Caenorhabditis elegans: one gene and its partners. The protein of the gene in region 2 purifies or fractionates together with the protein of the main gene of each other region. This does not show direct contact. Each region holds a gene or a part of one and is shown on either strand. Other genes may lie near its edges.

Region 1 (5,211 bases), on a different chromosome or scaffold from region 2:
TAGACTTGCACTCCCTATTAGTATTGCCCCTCGGAGACGTTCCGAAAATTAGTATTGCACACCCTATTAGTCTTGCACTCTCTAGTAGTCTTGCGTTAACTTTTTTGTATTGCAAACCCGTCTCGCTAATTTTAGGATTTCAACATTTTTTTGCCTATTTTGCAACAGTTTTCACATCATTTCTACGAGATCGAAGTTTTTGAACTTATATGAAAATCAAATTTTCTGAATTTTTACATATGATTCGAGCTTTTTCAGGAAAAAACTAGTAAGCTCAAAGTCAGAAAATGCTCTGAAAATTAGTATTGCACTCCCTAATAGTCTTGCATTCCCTATTAGTATTGCAAGCGGGAAGACCATCGAAAAATAGTATTGCAGCCATATTAATAGAAGAAATACGGTATTTGTTATGTTCGAATGCAGATGTCTCATAACGATTTACAACTCTAATATGCGTAAATGTATGATAAGATCAGTTGAAATTGTATAAGAATGCATGCAGTGCCACCTGTTAATTTTATGATCCACCAATCATTCGGCACCGTCGATTCAGACATCACTTTTCTCATCAAGCCGCAGAAAGAGATATACGTGTAATTAATTGAGTTAATTTCTTGCAACAATCTAGTTCAAACATTTACCGGGAACAAGGAAAAACAGGTTGAATAAATAATAAATGACAGTCAAGGTTTTAGGGATTTTACAACAAGATTGTTAGAATAAATAATGTGCGTAAAACGTGTAAGTATACAAGAAGTGTATACTTAAAAAACAAATTAAACATTCAATAGTTGGAGTTTAGAAACCTCCGCGTCCACCACGACCCCCGTAACCACCACGTCCACGATCTCCGCCGTATCCACCTCGTCCTCCGCGGTCTCCCCCGCCGTATCCACCTCTACCTCCACGATCTCCGCCGTATCCACCTCTGCCTCCACGGTCTCCACCGCCATATCCTCCGCGACCACCTCCTCCTCCATAAGCTGAACTGGTGGGAGCAAATTGACCGAATCCTTTTGCAACTTTGGCTTCCCCAAATCCACTGACTTTGTATTGATTAGTCGGGGCAGGAAGAGGCATTGGAGTAGCGTCGCCTGACCCCCATGCAGTTTCAGCACGAGCTTGTGGTTGTGGTGTAGAATCTTTGTCAGCAACTGTGGTTTCCTCTTCATCTATCTGCTGCATGCCCTGAAAGAAATATTTTTATAATTCTGAAACGATGAACGCGATACCGGTGGCAGAGCTACTGATTTCGTTGGAGAATCCCAGCCATCGGTGGAAAAACTTGGCGCTACTTCTGGCGAAGCACTTGAAGAAGTATCTTGATTGGCATCCGAAGCCATCTCGATCTCGTTAACTGTTTGCTGTTGTTGTGCATCGTTAACCTTTTCTGGGACAGGATCGACCGCTTTTACAGTAACACCTTCTCCAATGTTTCTTGATGAGCTTAGCAAAGTCGAAGAATCCACTTCGTCACAAGAAATCTCCTGAAGACTGAGTGAATCCTTTGAATCGACAAGTAACCCGGAAGAATTGGTATCACTGAGACCGTTGAGAACTTGAGCTTTAGTATTTACGCTGTATGTGTTGTGAACCGTCGTCATTTCCTCTTTCGTGTAGGCGGAATCCTGCTGTTGGGAAGTGGATGGTTGCACATTGCTCTTTCTGCCACTTGGTGTATCGGACAAACAACACTTCTCCAGTGATTCAACAATTCGAGTGACATGAGTCTTCGAGTTGATTCCTTGAACAAATTCTGAAATTAAAAAGTTAACAGGAGATAAAAAAAGGAATATTCACTCTTGAAGCTATCGACGAGAAGATTTTTTGAAGTGGAATCCAAGAAACGAAGCTCGCCCAGCGCTTCAGTCTCATTCTCGGATCCGTAAAACTCTGTAAGCCACAGTGCAAACTGTAGAGCTTTATTCACATTATCGATCACCGCATCATTGTTTAGTGGACTCTGAGGAATCTGAAAAACGGTCATGTAAGTAATGTTTATAGAATCATTAACTCACCAGTGGAACGGGCTTATCGAAGCATTGCTCTAGAATTGAGACTTGGAACTTCTTGATAAGTTCCGCAATGGCTCGTCTTTTCCAGGCGCTCTCCAAGTCTTTCGCGACTCCAACAACATCCCAATCCTCAAAAGACTTCTTAGCTGAAATATTTAGATTTTAAAAGTAAACAAAGACGAAAATACTAACATCCTAAAAGAACTTGGATGATGTGATTGCCGAGGAACACCGCACTCTTGTAGACACTTCTTTGCAATCCTGGAAAGACTTCCGCTCTGACACTCGTAGGAATCCCAGAGAGGATTTTCTTGGAAACCTCGCGCTTTCCATCTGCAAGTGAACGAACGATAAGGAAAAAGAGCTGATATCCGAGTTGAGATCTCAAGACAAGTGACTCGTCTCCTTCATTTTTACTCGCTTCCTCGAAAAGTTGAGCGATATGGTTCACAACTTTCCCAACAGACTCTTCGAGTGGATCCATGAGGAGACTAATGAATGGATCGGCAGGTTCAGATTTCGGACCATCCAACCTAAATTGAAAAAAAAAATCGAATTATTTTGAAAAGGACAACAATTACATCAACTGTTTCAACAACGGCTTGCAGCTATCAAATGCGTTGACGACGTTATCACGGATAATGTCGACCTCGTCGCTAGTCTCCTCAGAGATAAGTCCGAGGATTTTAGTTAGGACATAAACATCAAAGTCCAGATCCAGTTGGCTGACAAGTTCCGTGAGCTCAACAAACTTTTCGGCGGCATCATCGATTGCGATTACTTTGAGAAGAGCTTGAAGAATCTTAGCGTCTTCAGTCTTCTTCAGCTTGGCCTTACGGGCGAGCATTCCGAGCTTCTTGTCGTCATCGATGACAGAAACCAGATCATGAGCATGTCCCAATCCTGACAATTTCTCAGCAGCAGCATCAAATTTCGGACGCTAAAACGTTATAATTGATTACAATAAGTTTAATTCACACTTACAAATTTATCTCCGAGAAGAAGACAAACGTCCATGCCAGCAGCAATAACGGCAGCGTTAGCGTCGTTCGGCAAGATCATCTCCAAAATGTCTTCGTCTCCAGGAGCGTCTTTGGAAGCTCCCAACACGAAAGCAGCCAACTTATTGGCCTGAAATTGAATAATAGAAAATCGGTCTTTAAATATTATAGTCCAACCTGAGATGTATTGTTGAACAGTTCTTCGTCATTCTTCGTGATGTAGTGGGCCAAATTTGGGAAAAAGTAGGATCTCAGCCCACCGAAATCCACAATTTCTCGCTTGTTAGCCTCCATGTGAAATGGATGAAACTGAAATAAATATTTAAATTTTTAAAAAATTTTTCGAGATTAGAATTCAAAAAAACGCAAAATTTACCCAAAAAAGTAAGAAAACGGAAAAGAAAATTGGGACGAGATCGAAATTGCAACTTCCGCGTTCGCGTCGAGTTGTTCGTTTCGAGACCCGTAGATCTGAAACTTCCATGCGCCTTTAATAATTTCTAAGTTTCTGAACTATTTCCAGATTTATTTTACCTATTTTCTAGTTTTTTTTTTCAAATCAAAATATGTTTAATCAATGCGGGGTTTTATAATTAAATAATATGTTTAACTTGTTATAGATTTTATAGATATTATTTTTTAAACATTTTAATTTGTTTCACGATGATATTTCAGTAATTGTAGGTTTGCGATGGCGACGAAAGAGCAGATTGTTGAGCACCGCGAGTCTGAAATTCCTATAGCCAGCCAGTGGAAGGCCACGTTTCCCGTTGATCTAGAGATTGAAAAAAATTCTGAAATGTTTGCGCTTCGCTACATAAAATGTGCTTCGGCCTTCATTCTCGATCGCCGTGGCATTTTGGACGAAAAATGCTTCAAAACTCGAACAATAGGTATGGCTTATTTTACAATGTATCACAAATATTTTTATACAGATAAACTGTTGGTCACCGCATTCCAGAGCAGTGTTCCTGCCGCAAAGCGTGTGTCTTCAACATTCGACGGATTGAGAGATGCGATTCAACAAGGCTATTTGCGAGAGTTCGCAATCGTGTTCTACAAGAAGCCAAACGAGGAAGACATTAATGAAGTGTTTGCGTTCAGGTTTGCTTATGGAGATGAAGGAGAGATTTTCGTATCTCTAAATAAGTAAGCTGCTGGTCTTATTCAATTATTCGTTTTCAATTGTTTTCAGCGGAATCGACACGAACGAAAGCAGTCAAGAACTGTTACAGGCGAAATTCGTTGATACCGACAACACGAAACAAATGTTTGCAAGCACAATCAAGAAACTTCACCGGTGTATCAAGAAAATGGAGCCGCTTCCTCAAGGGTCCGACGCGAGTTTCCGTGTTTCGTACACTGAAAGTAGGTTACATTCACAGCTTTAGTCTATTTCTAACTGTTATTTTAAGAAGCTCCAAAAGACTATACACCCGAAGGCTATCTGCTGAGTCCTATGTTCTATACGCTGAATCAGGATATTAGGAAAGCATCTATTGGAATCGTGTGTGGCGGTCATCACAAAATTCAAATGCTTGCTGCTTCACAATACTTGAAGCAAGACTTCGATCTGGATAAAACGACCACACTCAATCCAAATATGTCAATCATGGCAAACCAATCGAAAAGGAAGGGACGAATTTCCAGAGATTCCCCTTACGGTCTCAGTCAGGGCATTACGAAGAAGAATAAGGACTAGTCGAAAAGTTTTCACTCATGTGCAATGTTTCTCTTGTTTTATATTTTTAGCCATTGTTTTTATAATTTCATTGATTGTCGTGCTTTTGTCTTCTCTTGTGTGATATCAATCTATCTTCTTCACGTATAGTTTCATCTGTTTGATTGAGTTATTTTTCTTTCACTGTAAGTCTGGTGTTTCGTAGATTTAGAAAAAAGTAGCGTAATAAATTATTTTGAAATGGACCAAACATTCAAATCCAGTTCAGATAAATTTATTTCATTGAAGCAGTGTTGGAATTCGGACAAATGAGAAGTGAATATTCATTTGAAATAAGTTTTACATTACTTGCACTGTTGGCTGGGTGTTAAAAATAGGTTCAATATTGAATTAATAAAATGGGACAATTCACCGTGCAGAAAAAAACGAAGGAAAAGGCTTAAAATTGAAGAAGAAGTATAAAAGAATCACATGGGCTTTTCAGGAATTCAGTAAATGTTTGGACAAGTATATC
Region 2 (5,492 bases):
CTCTCGCAGTGGGACCCCACCACGTGCTACTGAGAATACACCTTACTACAGTATTACTAAAAATATATTTGAAGAAATTGATAGACAAGCACACAGGAAATGCCACAGCGAAACAGAAACTAAGCATCATCTCTTCCTCTTTTCCCTAATACTCTTCTTCTCAAACTCTATTTCCTGATTGTGATCACTGAGCAAACCGTAAATGGAATGGCAAAGCCAACAGAAAAAATACGGGAGCAAAAAAGCAGGTGAGAGGAAAGCGAAAAAACGAATGTAAATCGACCGGAAATGAGCGAGTGAGAGAAGAGCAAAAAAGAAAATAAATAAAGAATTGAGCCTAAAGTTTCTGTATGCGGAAAAATGCTCGCCGCGGAGAATCGGAAAACAAATTATTGAAGTTGATTAGCTGAGAGAGCAATGTGATATGAGATCATATTGCCTAGTTTGCTTGTTAAAATTCTTTTCATTTAATATGCAACTAATAGTTGAAGTCGTGAACAGCATGATATTGAACAGAGTTTATGCGGCGAGGACTATAACGACAACCAACACCAACAAATACAATTAAAAATCAACAAGGGCAGGATAAAATATGGGGGAACTGACAGCATTAATAAATGCGAAACACTATCAATTGGTCGGTTTTCTACCAGCCTTCTTCATCTTGAGGGACTTGAGTTGGTACACTGGACCCAAATCCACTAGCTCCGTAATTGCCTCCAGCAGCACCTTGCATCCAGTCTGGAACAATCTGTTGTGCGTCGGCGAGAACACCAACAAGTTCGGACAGAAGACTGCAATCCTCCGAGATGAAGCTTGTAGCTCTTCCAGAGTTTCCAACTCTTCCAGTTCTGAAAACAATGCTTGCATTATTGAAACATTAATAAAATATAACTGACCTTCCGATACGATGGATATAGTCATCAATGTTGTCTGGCATGTCATAGTTGATGACATGATCCACTCCTTTGATATCAAGTCCACGTTCAGCGACCGCAGTAGCAATAAGAACAGGTTTCGATCCATTTCGGAATTGTCTCAAAGCTTCTGAACGCTCTCTCTGCTCACGGGCACCATGGATCTGTACATTTTGAATTAAAAAGCGGTCAAAAATGAAATATACCAACCGTGATAGCTGGAACTTGAGCCGATGACAAAATTGAAGCCAGTGTATCAGCCATTGCTCTTTGAGAAACGAAGACCATGGTTTTCTTTGTGTAAACTTCGGCACCTGAAATATTGAAATTTATTTCATCAAATAAGAAAACGAAAAACTCACTTTTCTCGGTCGTGTAACTGTCGATATCGATTCCCAGAAGCTCTAGAAGTTTGTCCTTCTTCTCGCTTCTTTCGCATCTCTCGAATTCCTGTAGGACGCACTTGTTTGCAGCTCCAATCTTGTCGATTGCAATCATCACGTAGTTTTCTCTGAGAAAAGCGCGAGCTGCTTCCTGTACAGAATCGGGGAAAGTGGCACTGAACATGAGTGTCTGGCGATTTTCTTTCCTCGGCATACTGTCATAATTGACAATAGTTTCGATGTCAGTTCCGAATCCCATAGCATCGATCATACGATCAGCCTCGTCAAGAACAAAGAAGCGGCATTTGTCAAGCTTGATGGTACCCTCTTCACAGAAGTGCTTGATTCTTCCGACAGTTCCGACAATGATCGTGGCTCCCTTTTCGATCTGACCCTTATTATAACCGACAGCCAATCCTCCGTAAACTGGTTTGATCTCCATCATTGTTTGATAAGCAAACTTTCTTCCCTCGTTGTAAATTTGATCAGCGAGTTCGCGAGTTGGAGTCAAGATGATGCAACGGGGATAGCAACCGCCTTCTCCGGCAGTGTTCAGATTATTATCGTCAATGAGACGAGTCATGATAGGCAGAAGGAATGCAGCGGTTTTTCCTGATCCAGTTTGAGCACAAGCCATGATATCATATCCCTGATGAACAAGTGGAAGAGCATATTGCTGAATTGGAGTGGTCTTGGAGTATCCAGCATGAGCAACGTTTTTCTGCATGGTCTCCGTGAGATTAGCTTCCGCGAATGTCTTGCAAGGTTTGATACCGACAGTCTTCTCGGATGAAGTCAGTTTAACTTCGGCATCGAAAAACTTGTTGAACATAAGGCCTTCCGAAATTTTCTGCATGTTGAAAACGTCCTCCATGTTGTCTTCGACTGGCACGTATGTCGCCTTAGGTCCTTCTCCTTCAACACCTTCCCTTGGCTTGGCTGGATTGGGGCACTCATTCGAGCGATGACCTTGCTCGCCACAATTGAAACATCCACGGGGTGGCTCCGGACATTCAGCAGAGCGATGTCCCTCGCCTTTACAGTTGAAACATTTCATTGGACCACGTTCTTCGCCTCCACCAAAACCACCGTCCCCACCGAAACCGTCATTTCCTCCATTGTTTCCAAATCCAGCTCCGCCCCCGAATCCACCAGTGCGACCCTCACGCGGCTTGCGTTCTTCTGTACATTCACGAGAGGTGTGCCCGGGTTGCTGGCAATTGTAGCACACTGAAAATAAAACAAATTACTGCCAATAAAGTTATATCAAAATAAAACCTCTCGGCTCTCTTTCCTTTCTCGGCTCTGGACAGTCACTCGATCGATGTCCTGGCTGTTGGCAATTGAAACAATCTGAAACAAACGTAATTATATAAAGTCAATTTAAAAAACGAACTATTGTTTCTCTCTCCGCCGCCATGTCCTCCTTCCCCAAAACCAGAGTTGCCACCTCCAAAGGATCCTCCTCCACTTCCGAATCCAGTTGCACTACCTCCAAAGCCACCTGATCCTCCAAATGCACTTGATTTTTCACCGCTTCCAAATCCAGATGTGGCAGTACTACCACCGAATCCAGAACTGGCTCCTCCATACGGCGATCCTCCTGTACTGCCTCCACCGAAGCCGGATCCACAAGTATTTCCACCTCCAAATCCAGAACCGCCAGTCTTTCCTCCACCGAATCCAGATCCGCCAGTGTTTCCTCCACCGAATCCAGATCCGCCAGTGTTTCCTCCACCGAATCCAGTACCTCCATTTTTACCACCACCAAACCCAGATCCTCCATTGTTACCACCACCGAAACCGCCTCCACTACCGAATCCAGTTTTGGCTGAAATAAAGTTTTTAATCAAAATAAAACCGGTGGAAAGTTCAAAATAAAACTCACCCTTAGCAGCACTTTCGCTATCACTCCAACCATCAGACATTTTCGCAGAAAATTAAGATTTTTCCAGAAAATTGAGTTGAAAACAGCAAAAAGAATTAGGAACTGTCCCAAAATTTAGTAGATGAGTGTGTCGAGGTTACTGTAGTTGGGGCGCGTGGCGAAACCTAAACGGTGTGAAAGTCTGTGTTCCTTTAAAGAATCGACTCTTTAAGAGGCACCACGGTTTCAAGATCTGATGGGATTCCGGATCTACGTTTTCCGGATCTACCATTTCCGGATCTACGTTTTCCGGATCTACGTTTTCCGGATCTACGTTTTCCGGATCTGGCACCGTGCCAACGCACAAAACGCTTTTCAACGCACGACTTTTTTCGAAATTTTCTTCTAGAAGAAACGCTTAACAACACGCGACGCGTAACATCGGAGCGTCGTTGTCACTTTTTTCTTCGAAAAAATAGCGTTTTAAGAGTTTGCACGGTGCCAGATCCGGAAAACGTAGATCCGGAAAACGTAGATCCGGAAATGGTAGATCCGGAAAACGTAGATCCGGACTCCCATCAGATCTTGAAACCGTGGTGTCTCCTTTAAAAAAAAGAATTTTGAGAATGCATTTAATTCATTTTTCTTTTTCAATGAACTCGATCAATTAATTATTTTCATGTTTTCTCGGAAATCCAGACTTTTTTTAAACATGAAATAAATAGTACAATTCTGACAAATATTTTTATAAATGTAAACAAGAAAACAGTAAATAAATAGATTGAGATACAATGTATGAATAAAATAATCAGAAACCACCATCGTCGCCTCCACCTCTTGCCAATGCTTGCGTCGTTTTGTTTCCGATTCCAGCGAGTTTTGGACAATCTGTGATGCGATGACCCAGACCGGAGCAGTATGCGCATCCCTGAAAACATGTTGAACTTCCCGATTTTCTAAATGTTTTCTAACTACCTTTTCCGCATTTGTGCCAGCTGGAGCAGTTCCCTCCTCGTCACCAGCCAACATTTTGAGAAATTCTGGAAGTTCCTGCCCTGCTTCTGCGAGTAATTGTTTCAAGTCGGAAAGCACTGACATCTCCGATTTTTTGTTGATAAATGTCGTTGCGAGACCTTTCCGTCCGGAACGTCCGGTACGACCAATTCGATGAACTGAAAATAAAAATTCAATTATGAAAAATAAATAAGAAATTCACCATAGTTCTCAATATCTTCAGGCATGTCAAAATTGATAACATGTTCAATTCCTTGGAAATCGAGTCCTTTTGATGCAACATCTGTTGCCACAAGTACATCTTTCTCATTTTTTCGGAATGCCTCAATTCCAGCATGACGGTCACTTTGATCTTTTCCTCCGTGAATTGAAGCAACTTCAACTCCTTTTACAAGCAAGTACTCGTAGATATTGTCAACGTCAACTTTCTTTTCGGCAAAAATCAAAACTCTGAAATATAAAACCGTTGCCATATTTCTAAATTAATTATTTTCTGATAAATAAAATCTTACTTGGGAGAAGTCTTTTGAAGGCATTCAAGTACACGAACCAATTTGTTTTCTGATCGAACAAACTCAAGCTCCTGGAGTACGTTCAATGAAGCAGCACCCGCACGTCCAACATTTACGACCTAAAATATTTATAATTTACAGACAAACTCCTGAAAAATTATTCTTTAAGAATTGAAGAATGACAACTTTTGGGAGTAGGTTAAAAAATTATATTTTTGAAACTTCTCGATTGCATAAATAAAACTTACAATAGGTTTGACCAGTGCTGATTTTGCGAAAAATTGAATCTTTCGTGGCATCGTAGCCGAGAAAAGGAGAGTTTGCCGTTGAGCTTTGAAGAAATAGAAAATTGATTTAATTTCATCTTCAAATCCCATATCAAGCATTCGATCAGCTTCATCTAGAACTAAGTAACGGCAAACCTGTAATAAATTGAAGCAATTTTTGAAATCTTTGAAGTTATGTCTTACTTCTAAATTTATAATTTTCTTGGTAAGCATATCAGATAGTCGTCCTGGTGTCGCAACAACAATATGAATACCACTGAAAATAATGAAAATCATAAAATTCGAAATTCTAATCACTCACTCTCTAACGTCTTTAGCTTGTTCGCCAATTGGGACTCCTCCAATACATAATCCAGCTCTCATTTCTGGAAGTCCAGCTTTTCCAAGAGCATCAAACATTTCAATGATCAGGTCAAAGATTTGACGAGCCAATTCTCTCTGAAAAGTATATTTCAAAATTAAAAACGGAATTATTGACGGATTTTGCTAAAGTTTTTTTAACAACAGAAATT
Region 3 (5,113 bases), on a different chromosome or scaffold from region 2:
ATTATTTTCATTGAATTGAGCGACTTTTAGAAAATCGAATATACGAAAATACCTTTTTGTCATATAATTGCTTTCGTTTTGATGATCCAACTTTAGCAGCAATTCCAGGTGCATACTCATCCGGCTCCTCATCAATATGTTCTAATAATTTGGCAATCGACTCTCTTCCTTTTGGAAGTAAATTATCATCGAGTTCTCCTTCTAAATGTAATTGTCGACATGCTTCAAGTGCAACTGCCATCTGTGCAGTCTTCTTATTTGGCATTGGATTTTTGAGCACAATTGCATGTTTGATCGGTGAGTTAATTGGAAGAAGAAGCTCTGCACAGTATTTGGTCACTCCATTCTCTTCAATTGGAATGATTTGATTGTGTGGAACAAGACGAGTGAAGATATCGGAAGGAAGCTTCGAACAATATCTGGAAGATTACCAATTGTTTGTATTTAGCTGTTGGATTAAACTTCTAAAGTGAAATTATTAATATACCTATTAATTAATGCGATAGCAGTTGACATTTTCAATGTTGCACCAGTTTTTTCAACAACATATGGTTCCATTTGAGAATCAACATCAAATTCTTCAAATCTATCCGAATCATCTTCAATAGGATTGTTGACTGTACGATGGCGGCTAAGAAGAATCTTAATATCATTTTTTAAACAATTGAACTGAAGATTCCAATATTACTTTTTCTATTTGCTGGAAATCTTTCAAATCACTATCACACGCCGCAGTATCTTTCTCCTCAACAGTGATAACATATCTTGATCCAGCTCGCCGAGCTCTTCCCTTTGACTGAACGTATGATCTCATGTCAAGTGGTCGATCAAATTTAATCACAAGATTACATTGTTTAACATCTACACCTTCTTCAAGCACTGATGTAGCGATAAGACAATTGATTTCATTTCGATGGAAACGGCGAAGAACCTAAAAATTATATTTAGACAATGATAATTTAAACATAAATTTACTTCAGTTTGTCGTTTATGTAATCCTTGACTATCCGAACTCGCCAAATTTCGTCCGCTGGCTCCAACGACGTAATCCGGGTTCACAAACTTGAACTTAGGCTCCCATGATTTAATATGACGCATCATAAGCTGAAAATTTACAATATATTACCGTAACATTCATATAAACCTACAAGTAACGAATATGCAATGTACCGTTGATCGACAAAAATAATGGCTGATAAATGTTCTGCTTTTTCTAACTTCATTCGTTCTTTTTGAAATTCGGGGTTGAAAGTTTCTAGGATTTCGAAAAGACGTATGACACGTTGAGGAACATATGGACGGAGAGCTTCAATACTTTTGATTTTCTTCATCTAAATTGGAAAAAATTGGTGTAATTAATAGTTGATTGCTTACACTGGAAGTTGGAAAATGCTAACTTGGAGTTCAATATAGAATAGTAATTTTAGATTAAAAGTGTTATTGAGGATCATTCCAAAAATTCAGCTGCGTCCGAGCAGTTTCACCCCTTTTGAAAAAACTTTCAACTTAAAAAAAGTGTTTCCAAATATTCGTAAATTGTTTTTAAAAAACATATAGCATTCAAGCTTCAGCCCATAATTCTCAAAAAGCCATGAATTGAGCTACAATCTTACAATTTGAAATCTTGCTCAAGATTTGTAGCTCTCTTGGTGAGTAGGGAGTTACGAACTTTTTCGAATGATAACACTTTTTTGTCGAAAAATTGCTATACCATAACGATACTTCGAGGTACCATTTTCCAACGTCTCTTGTTAGGTACGCACCTCCGGTTCCAACAATCTTTTAATCGTAATCATAGATGTTTTTGCCATATTCAAAAACCGCAACGTCTTATCCGGTAGCACTTGAGATTTTATAATTTTTCCCAACTCTTTCTCCCAAACTTGAGCCGTTCGCCATGCCGCCCAAGGTCCCAGTTGACGAAAAACAGCTCGCGTCGTCTTGAGAGAATCTTTAATCGGTCTACGAGGATCCAAATCTAGATCTGGATGAAATTCTGTTGTGGTGTTCACAAAGGCTACAGTTTCATCAAATATTTCTATAACTGTGTCGAAATTCGGAATACCCAGGCACCCAATTTCAAAGTCTTTGCAGATGATCACAACTTCATAGGGTTTCGCACCGTATTTCGAGAGCTAAATTAGTTTTATTGGAAACAAGTCTTTGTTTGTCTTTTTTAAATCATACCGAGACTAAATCACTAGCTGTCTCTATAACACTGTCCATCGCAGATTCCAACTTTTTTAACTGTTCCATTAGTTTTTCCGGCGCAACTTTCGCTTTGATAAGACTGGCTGTGAGTCCTAATACACGTGGGACGGGTTTGTCTGAAAAAATATTTCCGTATTTTGAAGCGAATTCGAAGTTTCACCATTAATTCCTCAATACTTACCCTTTTTCAATAACTTATAATCGACCATGATGCTTCTGTATGGATGTTGAGAACCGAGAGCATGATGACATTCGTCAAAGATCAGAACACACATGTCTTCAATTTTCAAGTACGCATGTCGAATCAAATCAAGAAGGCATTGAGCTGTGATCACAACAACCTGAAATATATATGCTCGATAGTTCAGCTTCGTATTCTCACTCACATGGTGCCTCTTCATGAACTGATCACATTGTTCTTTGCTGTCCCATAAACCACTACTTGTCTGTCCGTGGACCTGACCAACTTTGAAACTTGTGTGAACTTCGATGTGGATAGCTTGTTGTTCAACGAGGTTTACTGGAAAAAATGATGTTTTAGAATAAATCTTGTTTTTTTTTGTCAATTATTCACTTTACTGGCCAGCTGGCTTATTTTTAATAGACGAAATTACCTTTCTCTACAACAAAAAACGCTCGTTTTCCACCCTGATCCAATGGTGCAAACAATTGAACTCCATATTCTTTCAGCAGTAGAACTGCAATGAAAGTTTTTCCTGAACCAGTGCCTAGTTGGACGATTGTGTTCTTTTTTGTCGCTTTATCCAAAAGTTCCACCTGAAAATCGATTATTTTTAATTTATTTTGCTACTTAAAAATTACCTGGTAGTCCCTGGGGTTAAAACATTGTAAATCAGCTCTTACCCTGACCATTATTGGTCTGAAAACAGGGAAAATTGATAATGTTCAAAAATTACAATAAAAAATAATTGCCGCTGACTGCCCCGTAGTATGCGCTCTACTGAACCAATGTCTATGTCTCTTTCATGGGAACATTCAAAAGACGGAGGAAAAGTGGAATCGACAGAAATTTGAAAGAAAATACTCTGAAAAATCGTGTGAAAAAAAAGAAACAAACATTTTTTCGTATAATTTTTAAAGGAACATTTATTCGCGGTTTTTGTGGAAATGTAGTTTCCGAGACCCCAACCTTCGTTTTAAGCATGATCCTTTAATATATACAGTTTCTCACACATTTGTCATCGTTCTCTTCTCGTATCCTTGCTGAAATTATTTTAACCATTTCGAAAATGTCCATTTTTGACAGAATGACTACTTCGAAAGAGGCTGCGATGAAGTACAGGTATGGAATTTTTGAAAATGAGTTCCGTAAAGACAGTTTTCAGACAATTTTGCGTCTCAAAGAAAAAAGAAGTCTGGGATGCTCTGATATATCACGCAAAATACGCAAAAAATATTGAAAAAGTTTATGATATGACGACAGTTCTGCAACGAGTACAGCAAGAATGCCTGATGGTGAGTTTTAAAATTTTTAAATCCAATCAAGAACAAATTAGCCTTATTCTCAATTAAATGCTCTGAAAAATCTTCTCCTTATGGAAAACGGTCAGAAAATAGAGGTGTAACAAGCTAATGGAAAATAATTTCAGTTTGCATTGGAAAAAGGCGTTGGTCAACCGGATATTCGCGATGCTGCAGAGCTCATCTTCCCACTGGCCATGCAGAAAGTTGTTATCAAAGTTCTCAGACCTTATTTTATGTCGCACTTCACTAATTACAGACGTATTTTTTTTTCATTCAGCCCCAGTTTCCAATAACATTTTTCAGTTGCCATGTACCTTCCTCATCGAAAAATCGATCATGGAATCGATTTAAACCAAGAGCTGTGGACACCAGAAAAAAAAGAAATATGCGGGCAATATGTTCAAGATTTTAATCCTTTTGTCAATGAATTGTGGGTAAAGCCTGACTTCCTAAATTATATATAACATTTTCAGAAAAACTGGAATTCTCAATGCAAATCGTCACATGAACGCAGCACTTTCAGTGTATATTCGCGAGCTTGCTGCAACATTGGTGATGCACGAGAAAGCGGCTTTTGACAATGAGCTGAGATGTTCAATGTTTCAAGAAATTATGGAGAGTCTGAGGATTTGGTCAGATCAAGTAACAATGCAAGACGCATTCCATTTAATTAGTGACACTATTTACAAAGATGTCTTCCAAATGCTTTCCAAAAACGTGAGTTTTTAAAAAAATTTGGAACCTAAAAAATATTTTTTGTAGGCATATGAAATGATCGCCGTAGATTTTCCAGTAAAATTTCGCAGTCTCATCACAATGAAATATTGCCTTTTGAGAACTAATAATCATGGGAGAGTCGATTTCACAAATTACTTGATAGATCAAGTTAACACAAAACTTCTTGTTGCATGTAAGTTGGTGAGGGGAATTATTTAAAACTTAAATATTTAAAATTTCAGCGGTTGATACAAAAGACATTTTGAAAGCTTATGCGGCGTGCGTAGAATCTCTTCGTGAAATGGACAATAGTTGCGTGGTTATGCATAAAGTTTGTGGAGTTATCAGAGAATATTTGAAGTAAGCTATTTCCTGATTGTTTAATTATATTTAATTTTTTTTTCAGAAGGCGACCTGACACTGTACAACAAATTATCAGTTACATTACTTCTAATAAGAAAAATGAACTGGAAAAAGATATGGTAAGCGTGTACTAAAAAAACGTTTTCTAACACTTTTCAAGAGCTTACAGTCTAAAACTGTTCGATCGGCAATGATGGACGAGGAAGAACTGAAAGGTGTCAACGATGATTTTTTGCCAGAAAATATGGAGACGCTTGGATGGGAAAACTGGATGCCTAACCCAACTGATGCTACTGTTGGTTAGTGATTACAGATAAAAACTCACGGAAGTTCAATG
Region 4 (6,382 bases), on a different chromosome or scaffold from region 2:
GTAGAAGCAACCGAAACTCTACTGAAAGTCATAAGCAATGAAAAAACGAAAAAGGAGCAGCTCAATGCAATCCAGCACATTTTGATGTACGCGTGTGCTCATTATCTTTGTAATGCAAAACGAAATGGAATGGCTTTAAATTCAGTTGGTAAGCATGATTTTATCGATAAGCATTGAAAAAAAAATTATTTTAAGCAAACTTCCACATTAGAAACGGCGCAGAGTTGTATAGACTGAATTGGAATGGAGATACGAGTCATAGAGGGATCAATAACAGTTTTGGAATTATGGTAAACTACAGGTATGACTCGGTCGAACCTTTTTTGAGTCTAAAAATTTAATTTTCAGATACGATTTGGAGAAGGTTCACGAGAACAGTGCAGCTTACACTGAACACAAAAAGATGGCGATTAATCAGAAAGTTTTGGATATCTTCTGAATCTTTTCACCCAGCTCCTCATATGTATTCGAGTTTCAAGAATTTAGTCTAGTTAATGTGTCATATTATACTTGTAACAAATTCGTGTGATTGCTTGCCCAGTTTCTTGTGAATAAAATTTTCGAAATTTTAATTACTTAGTGCATTGTTTATTATGTCATAACAATAATATTAATATTAGAAAAATTGGATATTTGACAGGGATCGCGGTGCCTATAGGTACATGTTGAAAACTTGTTCGATGAAGATTTCAAAAAGATCAGTGGTGGATACCTGATAAGTTGGGTGGTTCAGAAGGGGTGAGAGAGAGAAGTATTGAAGAGAGAGATTGAGAAAACAAGAAAAATGAAAGAACACGTATCGAGTTGGGGGTTGGGACGAGAGAAGGAATAGAAAAGAAAACTTTTCAAATGGCTATTTACAGAAGAAGAAAAGCGAAGAAAAATGAGGTATTCAACCGGGGAGAATATGAATTATTATTATCCAGTGAGTGTTTTTTTGTTGATTTGAGGTTATGAAATTTTTCTTCTTTAAAAATTCTGGAATCGTACAGTCTTCTTCGGCCCAGTATTCCTCTTTGGCATTGCTGGAACGACGAGAATTGAGTCAGATGCGATGTTCAATGGATCATTCTCAATCAGTTTATGAAGATCAGAATCAGAACGACGACCGCGAAGTGGGAACTGAAAATTAAATTAAATAATTGTACTTCATTTTCAGCAGGAAAAACTAATATATACCTGGTATCTAGCATCCTTGAAATAAAGCATAGCAATAATGACCATAATAACAATTGTGACAATTGTCAAAATGGTGGCAGCTACAGTAATCCATCCAGATCGATAAACTTCTTCCTCTTCTGGCATTACTGTGGATCCTTCTTTCTGTCCGCAATTTGGGATTGCCAAGCATCCGAGTGCTCCTTCAGCAACATCTGCCTCCTCAGATGCCTCAAGCCATCGTGGAAGCCATTCTTTCGGGTCGTTGCACACGCAAACCCATGGATTCACTGGAATTTGTTTTGTTGTAAACGCGGACAAAATAATTTAAAAAATCTTCGATGCAAATTTATCGTTTACAGATAGATTATTATTTAACGACGACAATTTTTCTTTATCACAAAAACGTGCGCCTTTAAAGAGTACGGTAGTTTCAAATTTTCGTTGCTGTGGAATTTTCATAGATTTTTCATCGCTGTTCGTTTAAAATATATTTGATTATTAAAAAAACTGAAATTACAAAATTTAAAACTCATAAATTTAAACAAAATCTGAGAAAAACTATGAAAAATCGATCCTAGGGCCGCAACAGCAGAAGTTTGAAACTACAGTACTCTTTAAGGACGCACACCTGTTTCTACTTAACAGAAAATGGCCGTGTCGAGACCAAATACCGTATTTTTGACGCAAAAATTGAAAAATGTTGCGATTCATTTAAAAGTGATGATCAATTTGAAACTTTTCTCGTAAGGTAGGTGAATCATCTATATTGAAAATTGTGTAATTATGAATTTAGTTTTCTTTTTTTTTGTTTCAAATGCTGATAAAAACTTATTTTTAAGCACAGATAAAAGCAGATTCTTACATGAAACATCAACCGCCTCCACAGATTTTGGTGAGAATGAGTCAAATGTTCCTTGATACAAATAGTTAAGCTTATTACTGTGTAAATACAATCTCTTGATTTCCATTCCTTCCAATGCGCGAGCCTCGATCTGAAAACACTCTATTGAATGAGAATCTTGAAAATTTCAATGCTCAAACCTTTGAGATGACATTATGATCAAGTGCCAAACTGGACAAAGATTTTGGAAGCTCATCAGAACGGATAACTGAAAGATTATTGGACGAGAGTTGAAGAGTGACAAGTTTCTTGAGAGATGCGAGGAATGGAGTACGGACTTGGGAGGGGGAATCTGGAAAAAAAATTAATTTTTTTTTGAAAATGAAATGTGTTAACTTACGGCTTGAAAGTTCCTCGATTTGATTATATTGGAGAAGAAGTGTGATCAAATTAGGAGTGTGTTGAAATGCTTTTGGACTGATTTGACTTAAATTATTTCTTGCAAGGGATAATGTTTCAATTCTATCAGATCTTGTTAATCCAAACATATCCATATCACCGATTGATTCAATCTTATTGCGATCGAATAGGGCGACAACGAGAGATGGAAGATCTGAATAAATTATTTTTATTCTACGAAAAGGATTATAATTCTATTAAGAATCGTTAGACAAAAATTTTAGTTTCGACCATGTGTAATTTTTTATGTCGACCTTCGATCCTAGCACGAGGAAAACTTTTGATCTACCGTACCCGAGATTATTTTTTAGTTATCTACGATTTTTTAAAGTTTTCAAAATTTATTTATCAATTATTGAGAGAAAATTTCTCCAAACGTAAGATTAAATGTTTTTTTAATTTTTTACGGTATATAAAAAATTTCGATAGGGCCAGGACCCGAGGCCATAATTTTTAGCCTACAAAAACTATTTAAGGTAGAAAAACTAACCCTTCAGCTTAATAGATTTCATTGAATCAATAGTATTATTGTTGAGAACCAATTTCTCAAGTTTTGGGAACGATTTCATCTCAACATTGGAAATCTTGTTTGATCCCAAATCAAGTACACGAAGATTCTTCAAGGCTGAGAAGATTGTCCAGTCAATGTTCTCAAGATTGTTATTTGATAGAATAAGCTGTTCGAGAGAGTTAAGACCACGGAATGCTCCTCTGAAAATATTTGGTTATTGAAATATTATTTTCTTAAAAATTAAACAATACTTTTGAATAATCTCAAGATTGCAATTTTGAAGTGTCAACTTCTTCAAATTCTTCATTCCATCAAATGTTCCAGTTTTCAAAACTCGAATATCATTTTCATTGAGTAAAAGTTCTTCAACTTTTTTCAATTCCTCAAATGCTCCAACATCAATTTCTTGAATCTTATTCATTGCCAAATCAAGAGTTTTGAGACTTTTAAGTCCAGTGAAAAGTCCCTTTTCCAGTTTTTTAATTCTGTTTTCGCGGAGAGATAATAATTCAGCTGATCCTCCAAGGGATTGGAAGGAATTTGGTTGAAGAGTTGAAAGACCACATCGTTCGAGTTTAACTTGTTTAGCGAAGACCTGAAAATTGGATTGATTTAAGTGGGTCTCGCCGCGATGAGAAAAAAGTTAACTAGTGATATACGTTTCTGTCCTGATTGGCATTATTGTAATTCAACTTACATTCTCAAAAAGATCCTGTGGAAGAACATTAACTGTAGAATCTCTTATTGTGAGACGTCCCAATTCTGTGCCATTCAGTGAAGCCAAATTTTCAGATACAGATGCAATTGAAGCGGATTCGCATCTGAAAAGAAAATTTCAGTTTCAAGAAGTTTTATAGTCGAGTAAAATTCAACATACTCTATAGTAAATCCTTTGACCGTGCTGAAAATTCCGTTGTCGGCGCAGATGCATACTGGCTGAAAAGTTACAGGTATTTTCTTGGATATTATCAAACTCCGTCGAGTTAATCGATTCCAAAATTTACCTGTTTGTGTGCATTAAATTCTTCTTTGAATCCTTTCTCAATATCAATACAACTTTTTGTTTCTTCTGAAATTGCTATCCTGGCCAGTGCCAGGAGGACGAAGCTGAGTAAGCTTCGCATTTTATGTCGACGTTTCTGAGAAATGAGGAGATAGGGTTTGATATTTTTGTACTGGCAAAGAAGAAAAGAAGAAAAAAATAAAAAATATTAACGATTCACTCGATGTGGTAGGAATAAGATCGTTGAAACTTGGACGTAAATTCAGGTGATCGTAAAATCTTAATTCACAGAAGCTCGTAATTGAAGACGGAAGGATTTGTTTGAATGGTCATCCGGATGGGTCTCGTCACGAGGAAAGGTTATGGTAGAAAATTAAAAAATCGGAAACTGATTAAGATCTACATATACCAACAAGTATTCGAACGGAGAGCATTTCAAAATATTTCTCACGTTGAAAAAATTGCTCGTCGCCCCCAAACACTAGCACCAAGCGGCCGCCTAAAGTTGGCTATGAAAAAGAAAACATAGATCATGAAAAGTAGTGTTGGAAGTGAAGAGAGTGCGAGGGATGCTGAGAGTACCAGGCTGTGCTGGCGCGCCGGACTGGGCACACTCAAATACAGCTGCAGGAAGAGAAGAGGAGCGGAAGACGATTGAAATGAAGAAGAAGAAGAGGGAGATGAACATTAGTTCTTTTTTTCAATAGATAGTACTAGATAAGAGTAGAGTTTAGAGAAAAAGGTGTCAAGGTGGTTTATCATGACCTTCCAATAAATGAAACTATATCTTTGGGTAACTTACTTTAAGGAATCAGAAAACGGGAAATTACATGTTCTGGAATTATGTCAAGGTTACTAAAGAAAAATGTCTCATTTGGGTCCTGGAACGAGCAAAAAATTCTAGCTACAGTACCCCCGAGAATTTTAGAATAGAAATCAAACAGTGAAAATTTGGAAAAACTTGTAAGTACGGTATTTGTCTGGAAAGTCAGGTTCGTGCCAAGATCCTATGAAGTAATTTCACGTTGAAACCAAACCTATCTTATGAAATTTTTGGGTCTTGTCACGGAAAAAAAGCATGTGATTTTGAATGTTGAATTATCAATTGTTCCTTATTTTAAATACTTCAGAAACTCTTTGTAACCTATGAGGAATCATTGTTGTACTTTCGCGGAGTTTCAGTTGCATAAAAAATTGAATAGTAAAATGTGATTTATTTTCCAGTAACCTTAATACATCACATTTCACGCACAATTTTTAAATAATCGCTCGGAATTTTTTGTTGTTGTAAATATTTACAATTTATTTAAATCATTTTCAAAATCAAACACCAAAACGTTCGCCGGCGTGGTCATTTCAAAATCAGAGTTTCAAATAGAAGAGTTTCAGACAGAAACCATATTGACATAGACAATTTTACTGCCCAATCACTTTTTTCTTCCAAACATACTGATAACGATGCAGAGGTCGGGAATTGTTCAAAAATTCAAATTGCAAAAGTTTCATGGATTTATCGTTATTTCGCGATTTTCTAAGACATACATTTAAAGGTGCATATATTCATTCGGATGGGTCTCGCCGCGGTAAAAGCTTATGGTAGATTTTTTTGTTGTTAAAAATAGTAATTAAAATACAGAATACTTGAACAATATAGTTATAACCGGATAAATTTGCTTGCACATTTAATTTAATTTAATTTAATTTAATTTATTACGATAGTGAGATATCGTGAGGTAGAAAAAAACACATTAACTTCTGAATAAAGAAAAAAATCTGGTTCCACCATAAACATTTTACGCGGCGAGACCCATCAGAATAATAAATCTCGAAATTACGACAGGAGAATTAAAAAATAAATAATTTATCAACTGAACTTGGAAAACAAAATTAATGTTGAAGAATATAATAACTAGCTCATCAAAATAAATTGAAGTTTCTCAATGGAGCGCGATTGAAGAATCTTGAAAAAGCTTGCAAATATGTAATAAAGTATGTTTTAAAATAATAATGCTTTGTTAAGTCGAATTTCGAAAACAAACGCAATAATATCGCCAAAAAACGCAAGCTGGGCACTGGCACCCACGTAGAAATTGCGCAGTCGGCGATTGGAACGAGAAGAAAAAAAGAAGGGAAGCGTGGAGAGAGTGGGAAGGAAAGAGAGACGCAGAGTCCGTGCAAGGCAGTGTCAGGCTGCCCGTCTTGTCGATTATCTCTATATTTTACACACTCTCTCGCCTTTATTTGAAGGCCGAGGTCATTTTCGTGTGCTGTCTGCGTTTCTCAATGAACGGGGTGTGTCTGAGGAGAGGTTCTTTAAAAAAAACGGAGAAATGATCTCTTCCGCGCGGCAACGGGGCGGCTGTTCCGTGTTCGAGAAGTTCGTTGGCAATGACGTCATAATTTAAAT

Evidence for each region.
Region 1: the proteins of glh-1 (region 2) and pgl-1 purify together in Caenorhabditis elegans (affinity purification with western blotting; 3 studies listed by BioGRID, with this or other methods). This does not show direct contact.
Region 3: the proteins of glh-1 (region 2) and dcr-1 purify together in Caenorhabditis elegans (affinity purification with western blotting, with the first as the bait; one study listed by BioGRID). This does not show direct contact.
Region 4: the proteins of glh-1 (region 2) and pan-1 purify together in Caenorhabditis elegans (affinity purification with western blotting, with the first as the bait; one study listed by BioGRID). This does not show direct contact.

Annotation. Positions count from the first base shown.
Region 1 is NC_003282.8:6,973,819-6,979,029, forward strand, and holds pgl-1 (Guanyl-specific ribonuclease pgl-1), read right to left. Parts: upstream 3,501-5,211; coding exon 3,393-3,500; intron 3,326-3,392; coding exon 3,194-3,325; intron 3,147-3,193; coding exon 3,000-3,146; intron 2,956-2,999; coding exon 2,597-2,955; intron 2,549-2,596; coding exon 2,208-2,548; intron 2,162-2,207; coding exon 2,019-2,161; intron 1,973-2,018; coding exon 1,801-1,972; intron 1,757-1,800; coding exon 1,233-1,756; intron 1,189-1,232; coding exon 799-1,188; downstream 1-798. Other genes in the region: him-3 (HORMA domain-containing protein), read left to right, coding at 3,708-3,909, 3,952-4,165, 4,212-4,384, 4,432-4,718; prkl-1 (LIM zinc-binding domain-containing protein), read right to left, coding at 5,210-5,211. UniProt on the Caenorhabditis elegans protein: Guanyl-specific endoribonuclease which cleaves the phosphodiester bond in single-stranded RNA between the 3'-guanylic residue and the 5'-OH residue of adjacent nucleotide, resulting in the formation of a corresponding 2',3'-cyclic phosphate intermediate.
Region 2 is NC_003279.8:6,852,548-6,858,039, reverse strand, and holds glh-1 (ATP-dependent RNA helicase glh-1), read right to left. Parts: upstream 3,563-5,492; 5' UTR 3,229-3,562; coding exon 3,189-3,228; intron 3,132-3,188; coding exon 2,697-3,131; intron 2,654-2,696; coding exon 2,579-2,653; intron 2,531-2,578; coding exon 1,280-2,530; intron 1,232-1,279; coding exon 1,128-1,231; intron 1,082-1,127; coding exon 900-1,081; intron 852-899; coding exon 647-851; 3' UTR 504-646; downstream 1-503. Other genes in the region: sacy-1 (RNA helicase), read right to left, coding at 3,976-4,095, 4,143-4,339, 4,384-4,631, 4,694-4,812, 4,942-5,115, 5,164-5,236, 5,282-5,418. UniProt on the Caenorhabditis elegans protein: Probable ATP-binding RNA helicase. May act redundantly with the P-granule component glh-4 to regulate the formation of the granular structure of P-granules in embryos. Plays a role in positively regulating the localization of pgl-1 to P-granules.
Region 3 is NC_003281.10:8,077,191-8,082,303, forward strand, and holds the start of dcr-1 (Death-promoting deoxyribonuclease), read right to left. Parts: upstream 3,092-5,113; 5' UTR 3,085-3,091; coding exon 3,034-3,084; intron 2,989-3,033; coding exon 2,826-2,988; intron 2,732-2,825; coding exon 2,598-2,731; intron 2,553-2,597; coding exon 2,393-2,552; intron 2,328-2,392; coding exon 2,188-2,327; intron 2,136-2,187; coding exon 1,764-2,135; intron 1,332-1,763; coding exon 1,149-1,331; intron 1,105-1,148; coding exon 976-1,104; intron 932-975; coding exon 689-931; intron 643-688; coding exon 488-642; intron 420-487; coding exon 53-419; intron 1-52. Other genes in the region: apc-2 (Anaphase-promoting complex subunit 2), read left to right, coding at 3,462-3,514, 3,558-3,687, 3,822-3,954, 4,000-4,126, 4,170-4,413, 4,459-4,606, 4,656-4,773, 4,820-4,895 and 1 more. UniProt on the Caenorhabditis elegans protein: Component of the ERI/DICER complex which is involved in processing amplified double-stranded RNA (dsRNA) intermediates during small-RNA-mediated gene-silencing or RNA interference (RNAi). Involved in cleaving dsRNA in the RNAi pathway.
Region 4 is NC_003281.10:4,560,467-4,566,848, reverse strand, and holds pan-1 (P-granule-associated novel protein 1), read right to left. Parts: upstream 4,112-6,382; 5' UTR 4,097-4,111; coding exon 3,977-4,096; intron 3,909-3,976; coding exon 3,850-3,908; intron 3,794-3,849; coding exon 3,670-3,793; intron 3,568-3,669; coding exon 3,224-3,567; intron 3,173-3,223; coding exon 2,952-3,172; intron 2,616-2,951; coding exon 2,403-2,615; intron 2,355-2,402; coding exon 2,203-2,354; intron 2,154-2,202; coding exon 2,024-2,153; intron 1,449-2,023; coding exon 1,180-1,448; intron 1,123-1,179; coding exon 970-1,122; 3' UTR 568-969; downstream 1-567. Other genes in the region: mlcd-1 (Malonyl-CoA decarboxylase, mitochondrial), read left to right, coding at 1-148, 196-301, 349-439. UniProt on the Caenorhabditis elegans protein: Regulates diverse developmental processes including larval molting and gonad maturation.